Linked DNA regions of Lepisosteus oculatus. The protein of the gene in region 2 interacts with the protein of the main gene of each other region in a biochemical or structural test. Links are inferred from orthologs where the notes say so. Each region holds a gene or a part of one and is shown on either strand. Other genes may lie near its edges.

Evidence for each region.
Region 1: the proteins of ran-binding protein 3 (region 2) and exportin-1 form a complex in vitro, tested with the Homo sapiens proteins (2 studies listed by BioGRID). The link is inferred for Lepisosteus oculatus from reciprocal best matches to the Homo sapiens genes RANBP3 and XPO1.
Region 3: the proteins of ran-binding protein 3 (region 2) and rcc1 form a complex in vitro, tested with the Homo sapiens proteins (2 studies listed by BioGRID). The link is inferred for Lepisosteus oculatus from reciprocal best matches to the Homo sapiens genes RANBP3 and RCC1.

The regions. Positions count from the first base shown.
Region 1 is NC_090712.1:9,751,417-9,759,405, reverse strand, and holds the start of exportin-1, read right to left. Parts: upstream 3,626-7,989; 5' UTR 3,083-3,625; coding exon 3,074-3,082; intron 3,066-3,073; exon of another isoform or gene 2,983-3,065; intron 1,967-2,982; coding exon 1,835-1,966; intron 1,189-1,834; coding exon 1,087-1,188; intron 1-1,086. UniProt on the Homo sapiens protein: Mediates the nuclear export of cellular proteins (cargos) bearing a leucine-rich nuclear export signal (NES) and of RNAs.
Region 2 is NC_090724.1:4,953,447-4,961,180, forward strand, and holds the start of ran-binding protein 3, read right to left. Parts: upstream 3,374-7,734; 5' UTR 3,359-3,373; coding exon 3,334-3,358; intron 2,749-3,333; coding exon 2,693-2,748; intron 2,470-2,692; coding exon 2,433-2,469; intron 2,319-2,432; coding exon 2,232-2,318; intron 1,380-2,231; coding exon 1,308-1,379; intron 620-1,307; coding exon 554-619; intron 152-553; coding exon 47-151; intron 1-46. UniProt on the Homo sapiens protein: Acts as a cofactor for XPO1/CRM1-mediated nuclear export, perhaps as export complex scaffolding protein. Bound to XPO1/CRM1, stabilizes the XPO1/CRM1-cargo interaction. In the absence of Ran-bound GTP prevents binding of XPO1/CRM1 to the nuclear pore complex.
Region 3 is NC_090706.1:6,699,167-6,707,224, reverse strand, and holds the start of rcc1 (regulator of chromosome condensation), read right to left. Parts: upstream 3,180-8,058; 5' UTR 3,090-3,179; exon of another isoform or gene 3,085-3,089; intron 2,770-3,084; exon of another isoform or gene 2,673-2,769; intron 2,362-2,672; exon of another isoform or gene 2,183-2,361; intron 1,658-2,182; 5' UTR 1,644-1,657; coding exon 1,574-1,643; intron 507-1,573; coding exon 319-506; intron 1-318. UniProt on the Homo sapiens protein: Guanine-nucleotide releasing factor that promotes the exchange of Ran-bound GDP by GTP, and thereby plays an important role in RAN-mediated functions in nuclear import and mitosis.

The DNA.
Region 1 (7,989 bases), on a different chromosome or scaffold from region 2:
GGAGAAGCACATGATCCCTACAGAAGAAATACCTGCTGTACTTTAGGTCTTATGGAACCTATTCAGTAAACCTAAACCCTCCCTCCTCCCATGAAACAATACAATTGATGAACAGAATTCAGTTAAAGGGAATCAAAAGGGTAGACCTTGTGGAGGCCTGCCGTCAAAGCCTAGCTGTGTCAGTTGCACAGGAAGACACCCCTTTTCTTCCTATTACAAGCAATCAACATAATGGAACATTAAGATTAATATCAAATAGTAACAGCTTGTATAAAAAATTAAATAATTAAAAGCCAAATGTCTTAGTGCTAAATCGATGCACTATAAAAAATTTAGACAAATTTAAGAAATGTTTACCTTTTGTTTTCTTTCTGTTCCGCTAATGACCTCAATTTTCGCAAGTTACAAATTTGTGTATTAAAATACTGTTGACAAATCAACTCAAACATTAGTAATGTCTGTCAGTATTAAAGAGCAATTTTACAGGCAAGCAAAAAAAGGCAAACTGTCATGTACCATAACTTTGAGGAAGTCTTTTTATACACTAAAATAGCTTACACGTAGTTCACCCAAACAGAAAACCTTACTAAAATACATATGTATATACTTGGGTATATAGATACGCATTAGTACAGATTCAGGTAACAATTACAACTGATTACTGAGAATTTCACCAATTAAGCTTTGGAATAACTGAAATTTCGAAATACTATAAAGGACTGACATTTTAAACTATTAAAGGTCAAACTCTTAAATGAATAATGCATGCCAAGCAATGTTATTTTACTGTAAGCAGTATGCTGTGTTGACTTTAACTGAAATGGTTGAGCAGATAGAAAAGCTTTGAAAGCTAGGCCTGAACCAAATATACAAGCACATTTGTGTTACCATTTCATGAACACAAAACCAGAGCAAACTAGCAGGAAGCTTAGTCCACAATACAAGCAGAACACTTGCTTAGCTGATATAATCAAAATAAAAATTTAGTTTTCAACCTAATGGAGTTTGAAACCACAGCACTCGTCTATGACTTCCTCAAAGTACAGATGTTCAGTCCTTCCTGTAATTATTCCAAGTCTTGCTTACCTTGGTGTTCATATTTTGGGAAAACTCCAAAATAGTGTCGACTCTTGTCCAAGCATCTGGATGTTCTTTCAAATGGGTCAACACCTCTTGTGCCATTCTTTGCTATTAAAGTAACAGATGATTTCAAGTGAAGTGAGCTGATAGAAGAGTAACTAAATACAGCATTAGAGATGTTGGTCTTAGCTTCAATAAGGAAAAAGTCCACTCAAAGCAGGTCAATAAGACTACAGGCCTCAGGTTAACCTGAAAAACAGCCTATTCTCTTTCCACACCAGAGGTCGCCAAATCCCACTTTTGAGGACTCCCAGATTTATCAATCCTTGTACCAACTAATTCTCAAATTTTCCTCATTTATAAATAGCTCAATGGGGCCAAATTGCCTTTTTCTAGTTCTTAAGATAATATGTAGAGACCTTATTAAAACTGTTTACGTGCAGCCTCGTGGACCGGTGCTGGCACACTCTCCTTTTAAAGATTTGTTTTATTATAAATCGTATAATCCATCAAGTAATTTGGTTATTGAAAGCTTAGGTTCAAGCAAAGCTATCAATACTAAATTTATTTTAGGAATGCATATTAGAAGTAATGTTGCATGAGATGTTAATTCTGAATACTGCACTATTAAACTTCTTCACAACTGCAAAATTGATTAAAAATAAGATGCTTTACAGATCAAGCTTTTACATAGCATTTAAATGTAAAAAAAAGTAATGCATTAATTTAAGAATGTTTTATCATTCATTTTTACCTGTGGCCCTTCACCATGGTACAAACAATTCACCACACTGTCCAATAGGTTGATATCCAGTTTCTGGCTGAAATCCAGCAGCTGGCGAGCTGCATGGTCTGCTAACATTGTCATAATTGCTGGCATAGAGTACTGCAACAGAAAAAGATTCCAACAGGCAAAGTCATGTGAATTGAACAGTGATTAAGGCACACAATTCCAAACAGCTGTTGGCCCGAAGGTCTTTCAGGACAAAACAGAGCTGCATGTAACTGAATTCGTAGTACAGTACACATCTCAGAACTTCAAATAAGCTCTTTGACACTTCACTGGACTGTTTAATCTTAAAACTAAACCACGTAGTATAGAATATAGGAAGCTTCTTGGAATTTTTTAACGACCCTCCAGATCAAAAACTGCATACAAGTCACATAGGCGTAACTCTTTGGCATTCGTCTATACAGAATGGAATATCTAGGGCACGTTTGTAACAAAGGAGATCAATAAGGCCACAACAAAACATGTTAATCGATATCAGTCTACACCTGAAAGTAGGTGGCGGGCTGGGGAGTGAGTCTATGATGAAAACAGACTACAGGTAAGCGTGGGCACGGGACTTGGGGCGCTTCCCAATACGTTTACTAGCAGAGCCTGAACTGGGCAAACGCAGCGGACAACCTTACAACAAGCATACTTCGGTTATTGAAGCACTATGCAAGAGCACTTTCAAACAGGACCAGGCAGTTTTCTTCTAAACCAACAACAACACCCACAAGACCTCCGACCCGTCTACACCCAGTTTACCCGCCCTTTCCGAAAGCAAAACTGAACAGTATCCCACCTGCTAAGCACGCCTGCTCAAGCAACGCACGTTTAGCAATCCACCACTGTTACAAGAGAACGTCAATGTTGGCGTCTACTGATATTGGTAATTCCTGCCACTAATGCAAAAAATTTTCAAGGAAGCGCGGTATTAAAAGGATTAGCTATAATTGTTATTTAGATGGCACTTTCAGTCTTAAATTTCACTAAAACCATGCGGAGATCTAGCCACTTCAGAAGGCAGGCACGTTACACGGGGCCTGATTTATATGCTATGACCGCATGCACAAGTGTTAAGACAGGCTGGTCATTGATCTAAGCAAAAAGAAAGCTAAACTAACATTTACCTTCCCTGTAATTTCATCATAAAAAATGAATGATGCTGGACCGTTTTGCTCATTTTAAATTTTATTTTTTCTTTCTCCCACACAAACACACCTCAGGCATTATTGGAGGATATCTAAAAGGAGTACTGGTGCAACTCCCAGCTAATGCCTGTAGTTCTGCTCGGTACTTGAAACATCCTTTTCTTTAAGGCCTGAAAGAAAAAAAACCCTTTGTCCTTACAAGTAGCTGAGAAAGCGTACCCCGTCTACGCGCATATACAAATAAAAAATATCAAACTGTCACCAAATCGTCTTTAATTTCCTTCTGTTTACATCATTTTTTACGCACTAAGAGCAACCCCTCCCTCTGAGGCAGCGGAGGCTGAGCACGTGACTCACATAGTCGATTCGCTACTGTTCGGGGAAAAAAAAAACATTTCTAGAAACTTCCCCTCAATTGCACCTCGCTTCCATCTCACATTTTCTACAATTTCTTTCCTTCGCACTCTGGCTTTTCCATTTTTTCTCCGCTAACAACACGGCAAAGGCGTCTGCTCCACTGCGTCCGCTGGCGAGCGCTCTGAGTGGTTGGATTTACTTTCATTCAATTTCTCAACAGGCCTCCACTCTCCACTATCGCTGTACGCACCACCATGAGTTTTAATGTCACACAGAACCCCCTCTCACAATCCTGAAAAGCCTTACCTATGCACCGTTTACTTACCTACGTTTTAAATCACTGTCCCCTCCTTTTGGTTTTTAATTCCACCAGTGAATTACAGTAAGTTTCTTTTTATTATTCTGCAAATTTGTGAACCCAATATTTTCAGTGACTGGCACAGAAAAACCACAATTACCTGGTAAATCGCTAAATCCAAGGCTTAGACTGAAATACGTGTGGCTTTCTAGCCAGAGAATCTAGAAAAATGATTAAATACCGTGGTAAGAATTTCTATACACTATTCCACAGAATGAGTACTGAGATTAAGAACCACTTATGTGGGTTCTCCTGCAATATTCACGGCACGCTAAGTAATTTGTTATTCCGGTTCATTTTACGAAACAAAATACTCTCCAGATTACAGTTTTGTTCTATTCTCTGAAATGTTTTATGCAGCGGGGCGGTTTAAGAGACTGTAAGCTCTGCGCTTCTTCTGCTCTCAAGCAACAAACTCATAACCGGTTGAAACCGGTTCAGACTGGGAGATTCCATCTCGGTTTAGTTTTCAGCCGATGGCGCCGCGGAAAGTTTGGACCAACGTCACGCCCATGCCCCCCGCCCATTGGCTGAGCGGACTTTAGCGACGGCTGAACTATTTTCCTATTGGCCAATTCCCGCGTCAGTCTATTTCAATTCTTACGGGCGCCCACGCCACCGCTCCGCCCTTGAGCCGAAAAAGAAGGCAGGATCACGGCGGAACGAAGCCCCTGCAATCTGAGTTTTGACTGGTCAAATCGCCCTGTCAATCTGGTTGGAGCCTGGTGCGCGTCTGAGTTACAATGAATCTGCAAGTTGCCAGGTGCGGCCATGATTGGCTCAAAACACTTGATTGACGTCTGGAAACTTGCATCTTCCACGGTGCTGGATATAATAAATTAAAAAAAACAATTTTTGGGTGCCCATGCGGTGTCTAAAATATTTGTAAGGTTACGGATTGTGATATCGGCGTTGCGGCCTTCCGAAAATCGTGCGCGAACAAGCAGATTAGAGAGCCGCTGCGCGATTGGAGAAGTTGGTTTCTTTTTCCTCGGTCTCCTCTAACCTGGTAATTTTCCACTAGCTTTGAGGGGAGTGGTTGTGTAGTAACAGAGGGCATGATGCGCGCATGGTGTCAGCTAAAATAACGAAACAAAGGAGAGACAGCGTGCTGAGCGTGCACATAGCGAATGTGAGCGTATATATATATAGTTTAACAAACGTCGCAAACTTAGAATATTTTCCAGAAGTTAAAGGGTTTTTATTGAGAGTTCAGCCTGCAATTTGTTGACAGGTCACGTGCGTCTGATCGAGCGCAGCGGTCGATGGAAAAATACAGGACTGTCTGGAGGAGCACCGTAGAGCTTGCAGAAATCGCAATGCAAAGTGCGGTTTCTGGACAGTGCATCACTCTCTTACCGTGTGCGATTCGCGCTTTGAAGAGGTTTTAGTTGATGTTAGACGGGTGACAACCTTCCTGTAAATGCTCGGTTTATATTTCAGATAATTCAGGGTTGTACTTGATAGAATTCGCGCATTTTGACACGAGGTTTCCAGACCTTGCAGTGAAGGACTTAAAATGTGAGATTTTGTTCTCGCATTTTTAGGGCTGTTTCAAGTACTGTTTTGCGCCCGAGTAAACTGCTGTGCAGATTTTCTGAAAGAAATTAAATGCACGTGATCCAAGTGAGAGTATCATTATTTGACATTTAAAAGGCTTTTTTTCTATGCATTTATTGAACAAAAGAGCAACCAAAAATTCAACGATGTTTCACAAGTTGGCTTTTGCTGTTTTGATGTGGTTATATCAATCAGTTGAGTAGATAATGCTCATTATGCAAAGCATACTGAGTTAATATTCGGTTTATGCGTTTAAGTCCACGATAAATAAACGTGAGGGGTAGATATCCCGTTTTTCATTATATAATGTCGGACATTAGCAGAGATGAATTTGGCACTCTAGACTCAAAATGTGAAACTCAGAGCAACCTACATTCCTGATACAGTATACAGATGTCTTTGTAATTGTACACAGCACAAGATTATGCTACTAAAAGAAACTGCATGCTGCTTTCATGCCCTCTGAGCAAAAGCAGGAATGGTTATTTTTTTAAAAGTCTCCAGTGGTATAGCAAAGTGGTGGCCATAGGTATGTTGCTGCCCCAATTTAACAAATGACTGAGTTTGCTAACAAAATGTAAACATGTCCCAAAGTCATTAAACATTAAAGCAATCAAAGCACACTATCCTCCCCTGGCTTGGAAATTTCCACTGCACATGTAGCTCTCAGCACAGGCAGAGGGACATTCAAATATTGTTACATCTGGAAAGATTGCTGCATGCAACATAAAAAATGTGAGAATCAAGATTTATTGAAGGATACAGTAATTGAGTCTGATACTGTACTTGATGTATCAAGGGCATTGGATGTGAGGCTTAAGTATGCAGCAATATTTCTCCTCCTAATTTTGGCTTCTCTGTGCTTCAGTGAAGCCTGCATTACATGAATAAATGAGCTATTACATGAGTCCCACCATTCCATCAGTCTGCTGTCTGATGTAAAGGACTCTTTAGAGCCCTTCATCTTGTTCATATTTAGGAAAAGGCACCTTATAATAGTAAAGCGATGTGCAGATACTGATAAATACCTTTTGTTAATCCATATCTTTTATAAATTGTCCCTGGATATTCCTTTTAAAACCAGTTTAAACTCAAGGAAGGCCTACAGAAGTTCCTGACCTACAGTACAATGCACTGATCAACAGGCTCAACACCAATAAAGAGCAACCTGCACACAGTGCAGTATGTTGTCAAGCAACTGTGAAGCATACCTACATGTTTGAGAATGTCAGTCTTACAAAACCACCATTTCTCTCCTGGCTTATGTAATATAACAAGAAAGTCTTCCTTACCTGAAGAACAGGTTAACCTGCTTTCCAGGAAATTTAAATAAGCATTTTAATAACCAAAATACAGGGTCTGACTTAAAACTTAGCAGGGTGTGTAACAAAGAAACAATGGCAAAAACAGGGAATGTACTGTAACTACAGTAGTTTAATGATCTGGGTGCTGAAAGCGTGTTTCTGGGCATTTTGAAAACTCCTAAACCATAATTCAGTTTGCTTCATTTCACTCTCTCATCAGCCAGGAAAGAAACTTCAGAAACCTGGGGGAAACAAAATAAAAGAAAATGAATATTTTTCTTCCAGTAGGTGAAGAATGTAAAATCTCAACATAGAGGTCAAAGAGCAAGCTAATTTATATGGCAGATCAAGGTTTTTCCACAGGACTGGATGTAGAAGACTGCAACAGACCCTCACCTTTTAATATGTTGCCTCAAGGAATCTGAATACTTAGAAATACTGCACTTTGAAGGGCTTTATAACATAAAATCTAAACTATTGTCAAACACCAAATTCTAACAAACTCCTCTATATACCAATCACACCAATCACCAATAATGAAATTAATCAGCTAATTATCGCCCTGTGTGTCTATAAGTGCTAGTGGCCTTTATCAGCCAGCCAGCAGGTACAAGATTCCCTTTCAGAGCTGCCACAAAGACAGACCCGGGTTTTAAATATTTGTGTCATCATGTAGCCTGCAGATTCTATAGCAATTTGTTAACACATATATGATTTGAAATTTCAGCACTATATGTCCACAGTAAACTACAGCTAATGTATTTCTGACACAGGTGGGTACTTTCCCAGCTGTGGTGGAACAAAGCCTCAGATTCCGTCCTTTAGATCGCAGAGAAGTATGGCCCTACACTTGGAGGTGTTGCTTTTTGTCTCGTATAGAGGTCACGATTCCTTCTGTGTGGTCCATTTAGGCAATTTACACAAATGAACATTTGGTTTTCTATGATGGTGAGGTCAGTACCTCAGGTTCCTTAAATTATGCAGTTACAGATGTGACGCCTGTTCTCTGAAAGAGAAAATGTCAAGTGCTATACTGCCTGCAGGGCACGAGGTAGGCTGAGCATGTATATCAAAGCTGCTGTAGGGAGAAATGGCAGCTTCCCAATCCTCCCGGAGGCCATAACCATGCAATTTCCCACAAATCAATCTTTTTCGCTTATGAATCCACATAGGGTTACTTAAGCAGCCTCTCTGGCCCAAGGCCACTTTTCAGTTTCAGGGAGCCAAGACCTAACTGATCTTTCCCTTTAGTGAAAGTGTAAGTAGTGGTGGCCATTATTGTAGCAGCAATCTAGCAAGGGTGACCTTGCCAGTGACAGTAATTCACAGGTGCAGCATGGAACTGGTCATCCTAAACAATTTCAGGCACCACTGGTCCCATGGACAATGCCTGTCAGAGCTGGGGAA
Region 2 (7,734 bases):
TGTGGACTGGAAATGAACTCAGTAAACAGAGTAATAGTTTACTTACTGGTCTGTGGAAAAACTTTGGGCAGTGGGGCCTGGAGTACTGCAGGGCGAAGTACACTTCGCTGTTGTTCCTTAGGCTTCTGGCTTGGAACACCTGAAAGATAACCTGCCAATAGCTTGGATCTCAAAACGATCAAAACACCACATAGTCTAGCCCTAATTTAGGTGATCTCAAACACAAGTTGAGAACTCTTTTTGAGGAAAGTTCCCATAAAAAGCATTCTGCCCAATCAAATAATTAAAGTCGTAATACAAGGAAAATACGCTAACATTAGCTTGAATTTTATTAATTTGCTCTCACATCTAGTCTAAAGACTGGAAAATCTAGTTTTAAGACTTTTCTCATGAATATGCATGAGATTATTTCCTTTTTTCCTGCATTTGCTGCAAATCCATCATGCAACCACGGACTTACAATAACCCAGGCAAAAAACAACACACACACAGCGGAAAAGGCTGCTAGCAGCTGCTAAATCCACTCGTGGACATAGCAGCAATGAATACCCACCTGCACTAGGGGCCTGTCCATGGATCAGGGTGGGCGGTTTCAGACGAAATCCAACAGTCTTCTCCTCTGCAAACAGATAAACACTTGCAAGTTAATGATCAGGGAATCAGGAAAAATGAGCCAGAGTAATTAATCTTTATCCTGGGGAGCTGAGTCCTTATTTACAAGAGTCTTGTTTTCTGCATATATAAATTGTAACTGCAAAACAATGTAGAAGACCCAGTTTGTTTTGCCAAAAAGTTTTGCAACTAATCTGGCCCAAGTCTGATAAAGCAGCCTGACCAGAAGAAAGGTTTTAATTTTAGTTAAGTGGGAAATGAAGTACAAATCATTCAAATATTACAATAAGACCAAACAGCAGGTAAAAAGCCAAGACTAAAAAAGTAAAGAAACACACCAGAGAAATAACTAACGCTATAACTCTAAAAAGAAATAGAGCTTAGACTCGTTACTTGACCTGACTGACCTGGCTGACTTGTCACAGCACAGCAATGAAGATTAAACTTAGTTCTGCATGAATAAACTGCCAAATGTTATAGGTTAAAAAAAAATATTTTGGAAAAATTTGACTAATGATTCTAAAACCTGACACCATTCTCTAAACGGAGAAAAAAAACAGGTTGTACAATGAAATGGTTCAACATAAAATACAAAAAAAACAAATATATTGGCTAAAAGCCTATGCTTAACCTTTCCAGAGTTCAATGCCATCTTACAAATCAGACCCACAGAGAGAACAGTTCAGTGAACTCACCAGGCTCAGAGTCTGAATTTCCAGTTGGGGACTGACAGAAACTTGAGGGCATAAACACATTGTTTTTGGATACTACAAAGAAAAATCAGCAACATATTACACGAGAGAACAAACAAGGCCAAGAAAAAAACAAATATCAGGAATAAATGATGGGATGAAGGCAATGGAAAAAAGTACTTCCTTGTGAACGATGATTATGCGAATGATCTTTGGAATGTATCAAATCACAAACAAAACAACAACAGTTCTGGCTTAAGAAATATTTCTAAGACTACTTACAGGGTCCACACAGGTCAGTACCTAGCAAGCATTTACAAATTATATACCTTATTTTAACAAATCAGAGTCTGAAATAACTAAAATACTCATTCTCTAGGAAGCAATTGAACATTTGGAAAAAATGCCCCATCCGGGTGTAAACCACCATTCCACAGATTTGTATAGTTCTATATACCAGTGCCTTTGGAGATGATGAATGAGTGTCAAGTGCTTCAGTGAAGACAGTAATTATGCAGCTGTCAATGCCATGTTTGGATGCAACCATCTCTAGATCACATCCTAGGAGGGCAGGGATGCCCACATATACATGAGACATGAGCCACATATAGAAATGTAAATGATAATTTGGGTTTTTGATTCTTCATGGTCACAATTATGCACCTTTCCTATAATTTTGGAGACTGAACATCTTTATGTTATGTATGCTTATGTATTCCATGTGTGCTTAGAAAATCTGCTATTTATACAATAGCTGTTTGCCTTCACATTCAAGGCATAAGGTTAACAAGGATAGAACCTCAAGCAGAATACACAAAATGCTAAAACCCCAATAAGCTCTTAGTGTCTCATACAAGCCAATTCAACAGAACTCACATCACGTTTACATACACATCTACCTTGCTCACAAGAAGCAGGGATAGTTACCAGAATGTGAGGGTGGAAACTGTGTTAAAGACGATGTTCTCTCGCGCTTCACAGGGGGACAATAAGCTCCATCGTCTTTGTCTGAATCTGAAACATTTAAGTACAAGTTGTTCTAAGTGTCCAGGAAACCACAATAAATTCATGAAGTGATACAGCATGTCTAGTTTTTCACCAAAACAAAAATTTCCGTTTTTAAGTCACCTTCACCATCTTCTGCACTGGATCCATCAGCTGATCTCTGAAATAAAAATAAGTCAACAAATTACATGTTTATTGTTCTCGCCTCCTGTCAAATGGCATTCAACTCCAAACTCTTACCATGATCAATATGGCACTACAAAATGGTTCAGTTATTAAACGGATTTCAGATCCCTTAACCTTTACTTTGTTTCTCATCCACTCAACACCGCCCCCCAGCTCCCAGAAGTGAAATAAATCAGCTCTGAAACTGGCTGGCTTACCTTCTGTGCTTTATCTTTCTGGAACACAAAGACAGGTGGAGCTATGGCAGGTTTCTCTATAAAACAAACAAAAAAAAAACTTGTGGTTTATGGACAGACTCTGATGCAGGCTCCAAAGAACTTCAGCGCACTGGCAAAACTACATTAAAACACTTCTGTGATGCATCCAGTCTACGTAATTGAAAGACAATACTAATATTCTTTGATTAGTAGTACTAGCATTTTGACTTTTGCGAACATCAGCACCCTCTAAGCTTAATTCTTGAAGAGTCCCTTTCAAATGTCACCATCACGCTATCAACATCCAGACATTCAGAGCTTTGAAACTGAAGCTCCCCAATGAAAATGAACTCATCACTGGCTCTATCAGAACTGCCCATCAACTTGTCCAATTGTCATGTAAAATGAATGCCTCTTATTTGTGCTTCTGAAATCCACAGTTTATACCAGGCAGAAAACACAGCTCCAACAGCTTGCTTCAATGGTTAAGAAATCCATCCCAGTAAATAATGCTTTAAAACGAAAACACTAATAAATCAGTCGTCAGACTGTTACTGGCAAAAGGTCATGAAACTTAACTCGGCCTCTTGTGCCCCAAATAACATGCAGCAAATAACAGTCTTGCTTTACTTAAACACTACCTGTCAAAGTGGCTTGGGGACACATAAGGAACGAAAGACCCTCTACCAGATGGCTGCAGAGATGTGAGAGAGACATCCAACAGAAACACAGCTGCTAGAATTTCCACTTGGACCTATTTATAGTCAACAACTTGGACATTTCTACATACTAAAACGCGTGACTTATTGCTTGGATTTCACTAGCCATATGCAGAGGTCTAGCTTCTTTTCTGCGCAGGCCAGAATTCCCTTCAATGCCACACCAGCAACACGAGAAGGCTGCAAATGAAGTTTTTCAAGTACAGCTTCTAGTCCTCTTTAAGATGAGTCTGGGGCTCTTAGTGATCTAGAGCTGAGCACTGGCCATGGGAAACAAAAGAGTAGTAAATGAGAAGCAAAAAAACTGGTTTCATAAACTTGGCCTGTACTTTCTGCTGGGTAACTCTGAAGGAGTGACTACCTTTAGTTCATCATAACCTGACAAATAAGAGGACTATTTACCCACCAGGTCACCTTCCCTCCTTTAAAAGCAGATTTACTTCAGCATGCTTCCCCACTGTCCCCTCCAGGCCAGCTTTTGCTTTGATACACAGATGTTAAATCAATTAGCAACACTGTTCCCGGATGAACACTTTCCTGATTTTTCATGTGGGTCACCAGGACCAGGATTGGGAACCCTTGGCCTAAAGAACCGACACCCACAGAGGTAAAACATACTGTTGGCCAACAATAACCAAAGAAACACTGATGTGAATTTCATAAATAGCAGCACAGCTTTTTTTTTCACTTCAGTTTCTTGGAATACAATTTAAATCTTTATTTTCCTACACCACGTCTGGTTTCAAAGGTGACCCATTTTTGTAGGATATGTTAAATTATATAAATCCTAAAAAAACAACAACAACAACAACAACAACAATAGGTACAAGGTAATTTGCTCTATAAAAGCCTTATAAATGAGAAGGTCCTGCCCATGGCAGCCCAATCCTAGTCCAGGACAGAGGTGTGTCTGCAGGTTTGCCAGCACCTGAACGGCTATGAAATTGGTCCAATTAAGCCAACAGGTCACTGAATCAGGACATTAAGTGCCGCACTGGTTTGAAAACCTGCAGAGACATCAGCCCTTCGGGACCCACGATTGGACAACCTTGAAGGAAGCCTGACAGCTAAGATAGCCTGAATAAGGATTTGGACTTTTACAGAAAGGCAATGTAAAAAAGGGGAGAGAACTCACTTGTATTTACACATTCTTGCAGAAAGAGGGCACTAGACCCAACACTGAGGTCAGCTGATATAAACACAGACCTGGGAGAAACAACTCTGCCAAACGTCGGTGTATTTTTAGCAGCATTAGAGAATAAGACTAAAAATATTGTCTATTTCTGTTAGCTGGTTCAAGAAAATAAGTATCTCACAAATTCAAAACTTGCATATAAAAATAACACAACTAATCTTATACATCTGGGTCCAAGTCAGATGTAGCAGCAACAGGAGTCAATTACACATAAGGCTAAATTTGTACCAAGCACATTGATACCAGACATTATCTGCTTTTGCTGGTCATGTGCACAGATCAGATGCTTAGCTACAGAACTATCCCATCCACTTTAAGCAGTGAATTAAGCCTGGGGGCTATTCTTTGCATATAATACAGCAAGCTGATTACACTATACAGATACTGAAATTATTTCTTGCTATACAGTATAAAAGGATAAAAAGTAAAAATGGTCATAATGGGGGAAAAAAGATGAGCCAGCCTAAGAAATTCGAAAAACATTAAGAATTTTAAGGAAACGTCTTTAAAGAAACAAATTCCATCAAGCTTCTGTAAAAAGATTTGAGATCTTCATAAATATGCTTGTGTTCATCAGGTAATCCTCTCACTGTCCTAATGCAAACCTGGCAAGATTTATAGTATTTAGATGGACATGTACACTGTAGAGAAGGAAATAATACTACGCCACAAAAGAAAAATACAATTTTATTTCACAAGAGCTTCTATAGAGCATGATTCTGATAAGGATTTGGTAACTATTCCCTTTCTGGACTTTTTTTGTGTTTCCAAGTACCAGTTCTGCTCTCCTGCACATCCTGTTCTCAGAAACAGGGGTGCTCCACAACAGGTGAAGTCCTACCTGTGCTGCACAGAGAGAAGCTCTGTCTTTTTTTAAACAGGTGTTGAATGTTTAACACCTTAATTTAATGTTAACACTATATTTAAAGACTCAGATGTTTTATGTAAATCTAATGCATGAATCATCTTTGCTGTCCCTAGGCCCCCTACACTCACCCTGCTCCTCAGCCATGCTGATTTGTGATCTCTAGCTCTGGGTTTTAACAGACTTATGAGCTGAGATGTTCACACGTACCTGCTAAAACATTAAAAGAAACATTACTATTATTTAAGAAAATCCACAAATCAAGATTTCCCTATTAGATTTAAGGCACTGTAACTCAATCAAAATAACTTGCAAACATCACATGATGATTAAACATTAAGTGCTATAAAGGTATAATATACAATCTCTCTGCTTTCTACCAACTAGTTTTAAGAACTTTGAAGGTCAAGTTGAGATCCATGGATCCAAAACACTACAGAAGCCTCATACAAAGCAATGGGAATTGGGATCACAGTGCTGAGAAGATTCCAATGTCTTGGACAATAGTTCTGACTGACTTCTTGAGTTACATTAGCCTCTATTCAAAGGACTAAGACTGTGACAAGTCTAGACAGCCCCTCCAACAGGGCAAGTACAGTACATGACATCCATCCTGTAATCACAGAACAGCTCACACTGCCAAGCTTCAGCCAACAGTACACAGAGCGTCATACCAGGGTATGAAGTACCATCAGAACTTCCTTGTCAAGACATTAAGGACCCTATAAACAGCAAATGATCAGGAGCCCTTTGTAAAGCAAGCAGAAAGCAGCATTAACAGTCTGCCCTCAAAACTTTATTCCTTCACACTCATCCCACCCACACACACCACCTATAGATAGTATAAGTACATGGAAAGCTTCACTATCTGGTCAGCAGAGAGAGCAACACTTTCACTTAAATTAAAACCCCATTTAATCACAGGAGAAAGGAATATCTTAGTTTTACTTTCAGTGAATGTCTGCATGCTTTAAAAACCCTAATTCCGAGTACTATGCAGGTGAGACCTATGCATTTAATTGAAGCAAAAATTAATTTTACTAAGAAGCAGATCTAGAATGTATATTTTAATCACATTTTAGTGACTTAACAGCTTATTTGCAAAACCTGCAATTGGTCAAATACTAAGTATCAAAGACCTTAGTCATTAAAAAACTCAAGAATGCAGAGCAAAACCTCTACATCCAAGAATTCTAGCTTTAAAAGTTGCACTGCTGCCCTCTAGCCCTCAGACCTTAGCACTACAGCATTTACACAAAAAAATATCAACATTGTGGTTACCAATCACCAGTCCTTGGGGAGCACAGCATCTGTTGGTTATTGTTCCAGCTAAGCTCCAATTCTCCAGTGCTAATTGATTAATGTAATTAACCTGCTTGCTTGTTTAGATTTTTTTTCCTTATTTTCTGAACTCATTCTTGATATTCAGAAATATCCTAATCCAAGGACAGTTTCCAATAACTTCAGCACACAGAATTTTAATGTCTGTGCCAAACTTGATTCCCCTTATTTCTGTCTAAATAGTTCTTATGATGAACACAAAAATGAAGGAATGCAAATACAGCAAATACTTACACAAGCTGATTCAGACAAACCACAATTATTTACCGGGTTCATACCAATTCCAGTTTCCATTCAACCTTCTGAGATTTGAAAGCAGATTTCAAAATATGCTCCAAATAGAAAACGAGAATCAATTAGCTTATGATTAAGAATTCAGCTGCTGAAAAAAAAGAGACACCGGTCCCCTAAGACCAGGAATGAGATACACTGCTATAATCTTTCTTCATAGTGAAAAGAACACCAGACATAACATATTATAGATGCAGACCTGCTTTCAGTAATTTAAAGACGGAGAGTACATATTTATATTTGACCTGCACACAGTCAAGCTTTAGACCAAATAGACCTGTAAGCATCTTTCAATTCTTGCTGTTAAAGCAAAATTAGGTGGTACTGAATATGAACACACTTTAGAATGCCTGAAAAAAAGTATCATTACTTGTTTATTAAACAGCTCTTTACAACTCTGGAACCGGATCAAGTGAAAACATCAAAAAGAAGGTGGTTCATCAGGGAGGCAAATATGAGTATAGATGTTATAATAATATTTGAGAATTAAATCAAATGCTTTCAAGCACTATAGTTTACAGGGGCCACGCCACTCCAGGACCACACTGACATTCCAGAGGCAGTAGGGTCTGGCATCTGATTTTAAAGTGATTGCTGGCTACAATAGCAAACATGCTAAAGAAGACAACCT
Region 3 (8,058 bases), on a different chromosome or scaffold from region 2:
CAAGAGAAACTGGATGAGATAATTGGATCAATTAGCTTCTTGCTACCAAATGGGCTGAAAGGGCTAATTGGCCTCCTCTTCCTCATGCTTGTTTGGCTCCTAAATAATAAGAATGGTACAATTAAAGGAAGGCTATCGGTCCCATCTTGTCTAAGAATAGTTTGCCCAGTGTTTCGTGTCCTTAAATTCCACTGGAGCCTACCCTTACACCACACTGAAGATCCTTTATTTTATTAGAAATATCTGCTGGGTAAAGAAACAAAGTTGTCATAAGGTTTTCAAGACTCATTAAAGGTGAGGGGGGTGGAAGTCACTCACATTTCCAGTGTCGCTGAGACACACCGTGTGCATCCCTCCAGCTTCGGCCTGCACTACACTCTCCGGCAGGGAGACCAGCGCCGGCCTTTTCCTCTCCATCACATCCTCGCCCAGCCCCAGCTGCCCAACGTCCCCCTGCCCCAGCACCAGCACCTGCCCCGCCTGCTTCCCATGGGAGCCGTGGGACACTGTGGGAGGAGGGAACAGCTGGGATTATGCGACACGTCAGAGCAAGCACATGGTCAAGTGAATGCGCCTGGAAATCTGCCAAAGCAACTTTGCGCAAGGTTCTGCTAAAGAGCGGCAGGTAAATAAAATGCATGTCAGGCTTGTGCTGCAGACTATGAATTCTTCTTAGAAAAATGTAAATTCCCACAGGATACCGACTGATGCCCTCACATAGGTGCTTTAGAGTCCTTCAATGCAGACTTAACCAATTGAGGAATTCCGTGCAATGAGGGGTTAGGTGCAAAACGAAGTGATAATGTGAAATTATAGGAGCTTGGAGTGATTGTGGAAGGGAGTAAACTCACAGGTTCTGGTTATCTGTGCGGATTCCTGTAGGAGTGGTACATAAGGACTATGTATAGGTTGATGTCATTTGTGTAATGTTATATCTATTTTAATCTAATGCTTATTAAACATAGTTTTTGTATGTTTTTTGCAAACAAATCAGAAATAAGGTATAACTGTATTGTATATGAATGAGGAAAACACTTATAGTGTCATTCAAATACACCAGGCTTCTCATTTCGGTCAAGATCCTCAAGTTCAACTTGTCCTAATTATAGGTGAATACTGTTGGTATTAGTCTGACATTAACACTCACTGATCTAGAATTGGGCAACACAGGACATGCATGAATCGGAGCTTTAAGCAAACCAGTATGCTTATATGGGGCGCTATACTTCAGTCATGCACACATTAGCCCCAGATTTTACTTGATGTGAAGTTTACATCATATTTGGGATGCAAACATAAATACAACTACTTTACTGACTGCAAAAAACACCCAACAGAAGAATCGGATCATAAAGTAGAAGGAAAGAACTCTGAAAATGCTAACTTGTTTACAATAAAAGAACTCCTAATGGAATGCCTCCTCTGAAGATGTGTAGTTTTCCCGATGTACAGAAACCAGCAGTAATTAATAAACACCATTTTACAGCCAGAACTCTTCCCAATGCTTTTCAGCAGCCCCAGCATGAGAGGGCTACTATAGGTCAGAGAGACCACTGGACACTCAATGACCTACCTTTTACTTTCTTGGAGGGCTTGACTTCCACTGATGGGCTGGGCCTCTTTGCAGCCTTTTTTCCAGGCATGTTGGTCTCTTCTACTGTTAGAGGAGACAAACAGAAAATCAAACGTACAGGCCTTATACAGATCTTAACATGCAGTGCACACAGATATCACGACTTTGGCTACATATGTTAAGCAATATAGAGGCAGATATTACCGCTTGTCACAGGTAGTATAGGACCACTGCAGAATATTTGTATTTATGTCTCTGGACCATAGAACGCACGCCACTTAGTAAATATAGCTACAACTGATGTCCAACACCGACACACCATGCCACGTCATTGTAAAGAGATCCAACGACCAACAGGCGTAGACATTTTGATACTATTGATAATTAAAAGGAAACCCTTAAGTCAAAAACAATCATAACTTACTGAAAGGAGCTGTATATAAACGCGCCTACACCGCGATTACGCAGAATCATTCAGTTATCATGCAGCACCGAGAAGCTCAATTAAAGCAACTGCTGCTGTCTACGCGCATGGCCTTTGGTAAACATGCAAAAAGCTTTTTTAGGACTTGCAAACTAGCAAGTCGACAGAAAAACAACGTCACTCACAATGTTTCAGGGGTGGCGACGATAAAGAAAGTCCTAGCAACTGGACGAAAAATAGAGGTAAAGAGCATTAAATGCAATAAATCCCTTATCGCTACGAGGGGATAACCTCCTTAAATGCACATGAACTACAGCTGCCGGTGCAGCGATCCACGCGTTTGCAACAGATCTTCTGATTAAAAAAAAAATGACTGACAGGGGCTGATGCACGAAGTCCAGGAAGACCACAAAACAAAAACTGCTCTGTTCCCGTTGCAGATGCATAGGCTCAGAGCCTTATTTTAGGAAATGCATTTTTAAAGCATGGCGGTACTCGCTCCCAGTCATTCATTTCCTGGTTCACGGTGTTTTCGCGACCCGCTATTTTTTTTTTAAAAGGCCACGCGGAGCCATCCAGGTTTAACCAGGTCTCCCACACAACCCCATCATTTTTTTTTTACACACCGCAGTGCTCTACGAAACATTCATCTACTCTTAACATGTAATACGTTACCATTACTTTCAAGTCTGGCAGGATTACCACGAAGGGCAAATACATATTGAATAACTTTATTGGCACAATTTGAGCACACGTACAGGATAAGGTACTTTTAAAGTAACGTGCACAGAAAACCATGCGCAAACATAAAAAGCCTTTTATAAAGTTATAATATATCTAACCAAAAAGACTTTTAAAATAAAAGACACAAAGCCTTTTTGTCCCCCCGCTGGATACCGACAATTAAAAAAAAAACAGAAGTCATAAGAAACCGAGCCAATAAAATGTTCTGGAATTGTCTGTTCGCTATTTAAGTCGCGAATTTCGACTTTGACCGTCGGATATCACAGTTTATCTACAACCTTTCAGCTGTATTCACTAAAAAATACTGCGAGAATAACAGTAACGCGCTAGTTTATTGCCATACTTTACCACAGCCGAGAGTGTCCTGTTGTTAAGTTGAAAACCACACAATTTCCACTCTCCCTCTCCATGCGGCTGCTCCTGCCTGCCCTCTTAAAGGGACAGACACCTCTCCTTACAGCTCCTACACCGTCTCTGACGTTTTGGGGGGAAATGTTTGTTCATCAGGTGCTCCACACAGGTAAAAATGTAGATACATACTTATACTCTAAAGCCTAGCATATCTGCTGATTGGTGACAATCAATGGGTACAATCGCAGATAGAAAAACAAACAACGTTTATAAAATGTATACTAAGGATTTTAGATGGGATTATATATAGACGTACAGTGCCTTTTATAGAATATTGGATACAGTTATGGCCACAAAATATTTTCCTTTAGAATGAGTAACTAGGTACATTTCTGTGTTAACGGGGATGTACTGACAGGTTAAAAGAAGCAAATCATTTTAGTTGTGAACAGAAAAGGCTAAGGGTGGTGACCTGATTCTAACCTGATTTGGATTATTATATATCATTCTGTGTCCACTACACAAGAAAGACATTGGTGTTTTGAGATAAGTTAACAGAAAAACAACAGAGATATTTTTTCCTCTGACGGAACAATGCCACGTTGTGTTATGCCTGTCTTCTTTAACTTAACAATTGCACACTTCCCTAAATTTTGGGGGGGGAAGCGAACGGATAAAAAAGGATAAAAACAGCTCGTTTCTTATTGACACCAGCTACTCCCATTGGGGATGAAACAGTCAAATCAATAAATCAAAAAGAATGAAACAAAGTGATCTTTAATTCTTTCCCCTTGGTCAATGTTCACACAAGTCCTAAATTATGCAGTGTTACTAAGAATGTCTTCAGAACGATATGGTGAAGGTTAAGTCGGAGTGCCATCTCATTTAACTTTCACACGATGTACTCTTTCAAATGCACATGCGACACGGCGCTATTCACACCAGAATTTGGGTAAACAAAACCAAACCCGAATATCGCATGCAGAGATCACTCAAAGACACCCAATTCCCTTTCTGGGAAACAGTAAGGGGGCCAGGAACTGCGAGACAACTGTCTGCTGACAACCCACACCTTTCAACAGCTTTTAGCCAATCTTAGCAGATCCGTTCAGTTAAAAAGTTAAAGAAATCACTTAAATATTTCGTAGCACGAAAGAGGAAAAACACAAAACAGTGGAAAACAATTGCCACCCGTGATTGTCCTGAACAAAAAGATGTTAGACCCACTTAAATATAATTGGGATGATAAGCTTTTTGTCCCCTACTGTATATCTTGCCGCCAGATGGTAGCAAAGCTACAAGATTAGAATTGGCGGAACAACTGAAAACTCAGCTGTCGAGAGAAAGGGAATAAATCATTTTCACTTTCGGAGCTTTTCATCTTTCTCGCTTTTTAGAAAGGGCCAATTCATACAGCCCCAGTATGCATCTAACCCGTCTAGTTTCAATAAATGCTACAAAACCACGCGTCGCTCGCCTTTCAAAGCCAAGTGTTGGGCATATTATACGCAGCAGACAAATCTTTGTATTTTAGCTCAATTGACAGGTACACTGCACGAATCATTTGGTCGTCAATCGTTGATGTGGGAGGGCCATTGAAGACGCTGAACGTTTTTAGCCGCAAAAAAATAAATAAAAATCGCCTTGCAGCTCAGAAACGGACAAAAACAAATCGAGGGATTGTTTCAGGAGGAGTAACGATGTAAAAACCGAAATCAGGTTTGGGAGAATTCAGAGCACAAGACGGCAGACGGGTTTGTAAACTAGACAGCCCTAAGAGTCTCCTCTAGTTGGCAATGTTTGTATTCTTACACAGATGACTGTATGAGCCTGAAGCCAGCTCCTAGCCATGGCAGTGAAGTTGATTGTGAGGCCGTTTAAGAAACTGTTGGAATTTCTATCGGGTACATGACAACTCACTGAGATCAGGAGTTTTTCTTGCTGCTCTACTTTGATCTCTTTCTAAGGTTCCTTTTTTATGGTAACAGCTACCATGCCTGTACACAATATTCGAAACGAGTCTCTGTTAAATCTTGAGTACGATTGTCCTCTTAAACTCCACTGCTGTTAAGCCTCAACGATGTTTGGGGTTTTTTTTCTATTGCTTTGCTGCATTGGTTTGACGTGGACATTAAAGATGACTTTAAAAATGTGCATTTTTTTTACATTTATACAATTTATATTAGTATCCCCTAATCTTTATTTCAAATTAATCAATCAATCAAATTAGACAATCTGACTATTTTAAAGTGGTTAAGAAAGCTGATCAATTTAACTAGATGGCTGAACTGACATTTCATTTAAAATTCAATTTAAATAAAAAAAATAGAACCACATACCCTTTCCCAAAAGTTTAATTGACCTCATTATTTAACAAACATACCCTTGTTTAAAAAGGTTGCCTGTACATTAAAATCAGTTTTACAGCTGCATGATTTAGAGAGATTTTTTGGAATATGAAAGGACTAACGGGCTCTTTTCTATAAAATGAAGCTGAATGAATACGCAGTTAACTGTTCATTAGTCCATATGGAATCATTCAGACAAAGGACCAAGCATCCAAGAGGCGTCAGTTTTCACCAGCTATAACATTATACATCGGATCCCGTTCGCTTCAGCTGTTTCTTTACCCGTGTTGATAAACATGCACAATTACGAAGTATGTGGCCGCACTTTGCTTTTGATTATTTTCATAAGAGCTCCAAACTTCCCTCCGTTTTGAAGATGTTCAGACATGAACATATTCTCTCTATATACAAGAGTCTGTTGAGGTTTTCACAGTCGAGCCAATAAAATGAGCTCGTTTTTAAAAATATATCTACTAAAGGTATATTGAAAGAAGTTCAGTGGAGGACTATACTACAACAAATGAGACCAAGCAGTTACCCTCCCAACACACTTTTTAAAATCGAAACAAAAATGATTTAAAGCTGTGCTGAAAACGAGAATTCTTTTTGTCCTTTGAAAGTAATTTCTTGCTCTTTTATCTTGTATTTCAACGGTTATTTCCCCATCAATTACCCTTCGTCAATTAAATCCACTATTTGAAATAACCTGGCATTTTCCTATTTACTTTGTATTAACGGGTTTTATGGGCTGTCAATACACTGTAACTGTACAGTCATTCAGTGAATTCAATTTCTGCCACTATCGCTTCGTGCGACATCATTTTCTCATCTCCCACGGTGTCTTCAAAGCTGGGAATTTAGTTTGTAATTTTTGCAGAGCACATGGCAATCTTTTGAAGGTGTTAATTTATGCATTTGTTCTTGGACCCATAAGATAGGAGTCATCAGGCATACAAGAGGAGCCAAAAAAAGCATGCTCTATTTCCTAAAAACTTTTCTTTGCTCTTTTAAGAAATGCCATCAGTTCTTAAATGGTAAAGAAACGATGCTTGGAAAGAGGCATTCATATCATTGACCACACGGCGAAACCGCATATACCACACTTATCTTTAAATAAGAAAATTTGTATGAACAGTAGAAAAATGTGCCATTTTTACAACAAAAGTCCCGATGACCACGGCTGCCACACTTGGTATATAAGTACTATGATGTCTTTTCCTAATTACCTCTTGGTCATTTCCTCCTTTTAGGCTCGTATTCTGGGTTATAAATACCCAAAGGAGCAGAACTCATTTACGGAAGAAAAATAATATTCTGCCTTAAGGGCCCTGTATGTGCAGCTTCATAAGCCAACCAGCCGAATCCCAAGGGACTGGGTAGTGGAATACCGAGACTTTTACGAGAGAAAGCAGAACTTACCTAAAGGTTGATACAAGGTATAAGGCTAAGCTGTTCTTGGGGTTTAGGGCAAGTGGTAAAAGTATTGCTTTAGTGGTCACATGCTGGTTACGTTGCTGTGTTCTTTAACTGCTTTTTCCCCATCATTGATCATGCTTGGTTACTGAACTGGTGGTGGGTTCTAGGTTTGTTTGCTTGTTAATTGTGCACGCTTTGTGTACTGCAAAAGCCCTTTACTATGGCGTGTAAAGATTAACATTCTGCAACCATTTATCTTCTGTCACTGTGTTTCTAATTGTAAGCTATCTATATTCTACTCTATTCTCCGCATTCTAACAGAGACTGCACGTAATAGTCTCTTTTATAGTTTATTAATGCACAACACTTTGTGAAGAATGCATTGCCTGAAAGGCACTGTTGAAAATGGATTCATATCAAATAGACAACATGGACTTAATCCAGCAGAGTCTGTAGAAAACCTTAGCCCGACAGCATGATCAATCCCCCCCCCAAAACATATCCTCATACATAAGAAATATAAGACAAAAGAGACACTTTTCTATAAGCTTTTAATTTGATTCTGCAGTGGCTGTTAATTGCTAATTAGAGAGGTGCAGATATCAACTGCCTAAATTCCATAGCATTTCTTTACAAAAATTATACATCTGTAAAATAAAACAGGTGTTTTTATATACCAGTCCTTGTAGTGTTGCTGAACCACCAACCATTCTGTCATTAAGAAAAACAATGAAACAGCCTATAATACTTTTATTATATTTAAAATCTTTTTTTCTTTTTAAGATAGGAAGACAAGATATACAATGCATTCACGTAATCTACAGAATAAATCTATACAGCAGAGGTGAGGAACTTGTTTCCTACTGGCCCCAAAAAAGTACACTAAAACATTGTAAGTAAAAATGAAGAAAAATATGTTCCTGCCGAAATGATTTTCCCTGTCATCCATCAAAGAGGCGGATTCTTTTTTTCTGTAAAAACTAAGAGATCTGACCCTGAATGTTAGTCTTTTATTATTTATTTTACATTTACTGTAAAGGTTTAAGGTGCTGTGTTCTCTAGTTGCTAAAAGTTTCAGTCTGCACATTTGTTTTCAAGGGGGGGTAAATAAAATAAAAAGAACCAAAAAAACAGTTAAAAGCACTTATTGGACAGATTTTTGCATTTACTTCTGTCACAGTTTAACAAACACGTTTCACCGC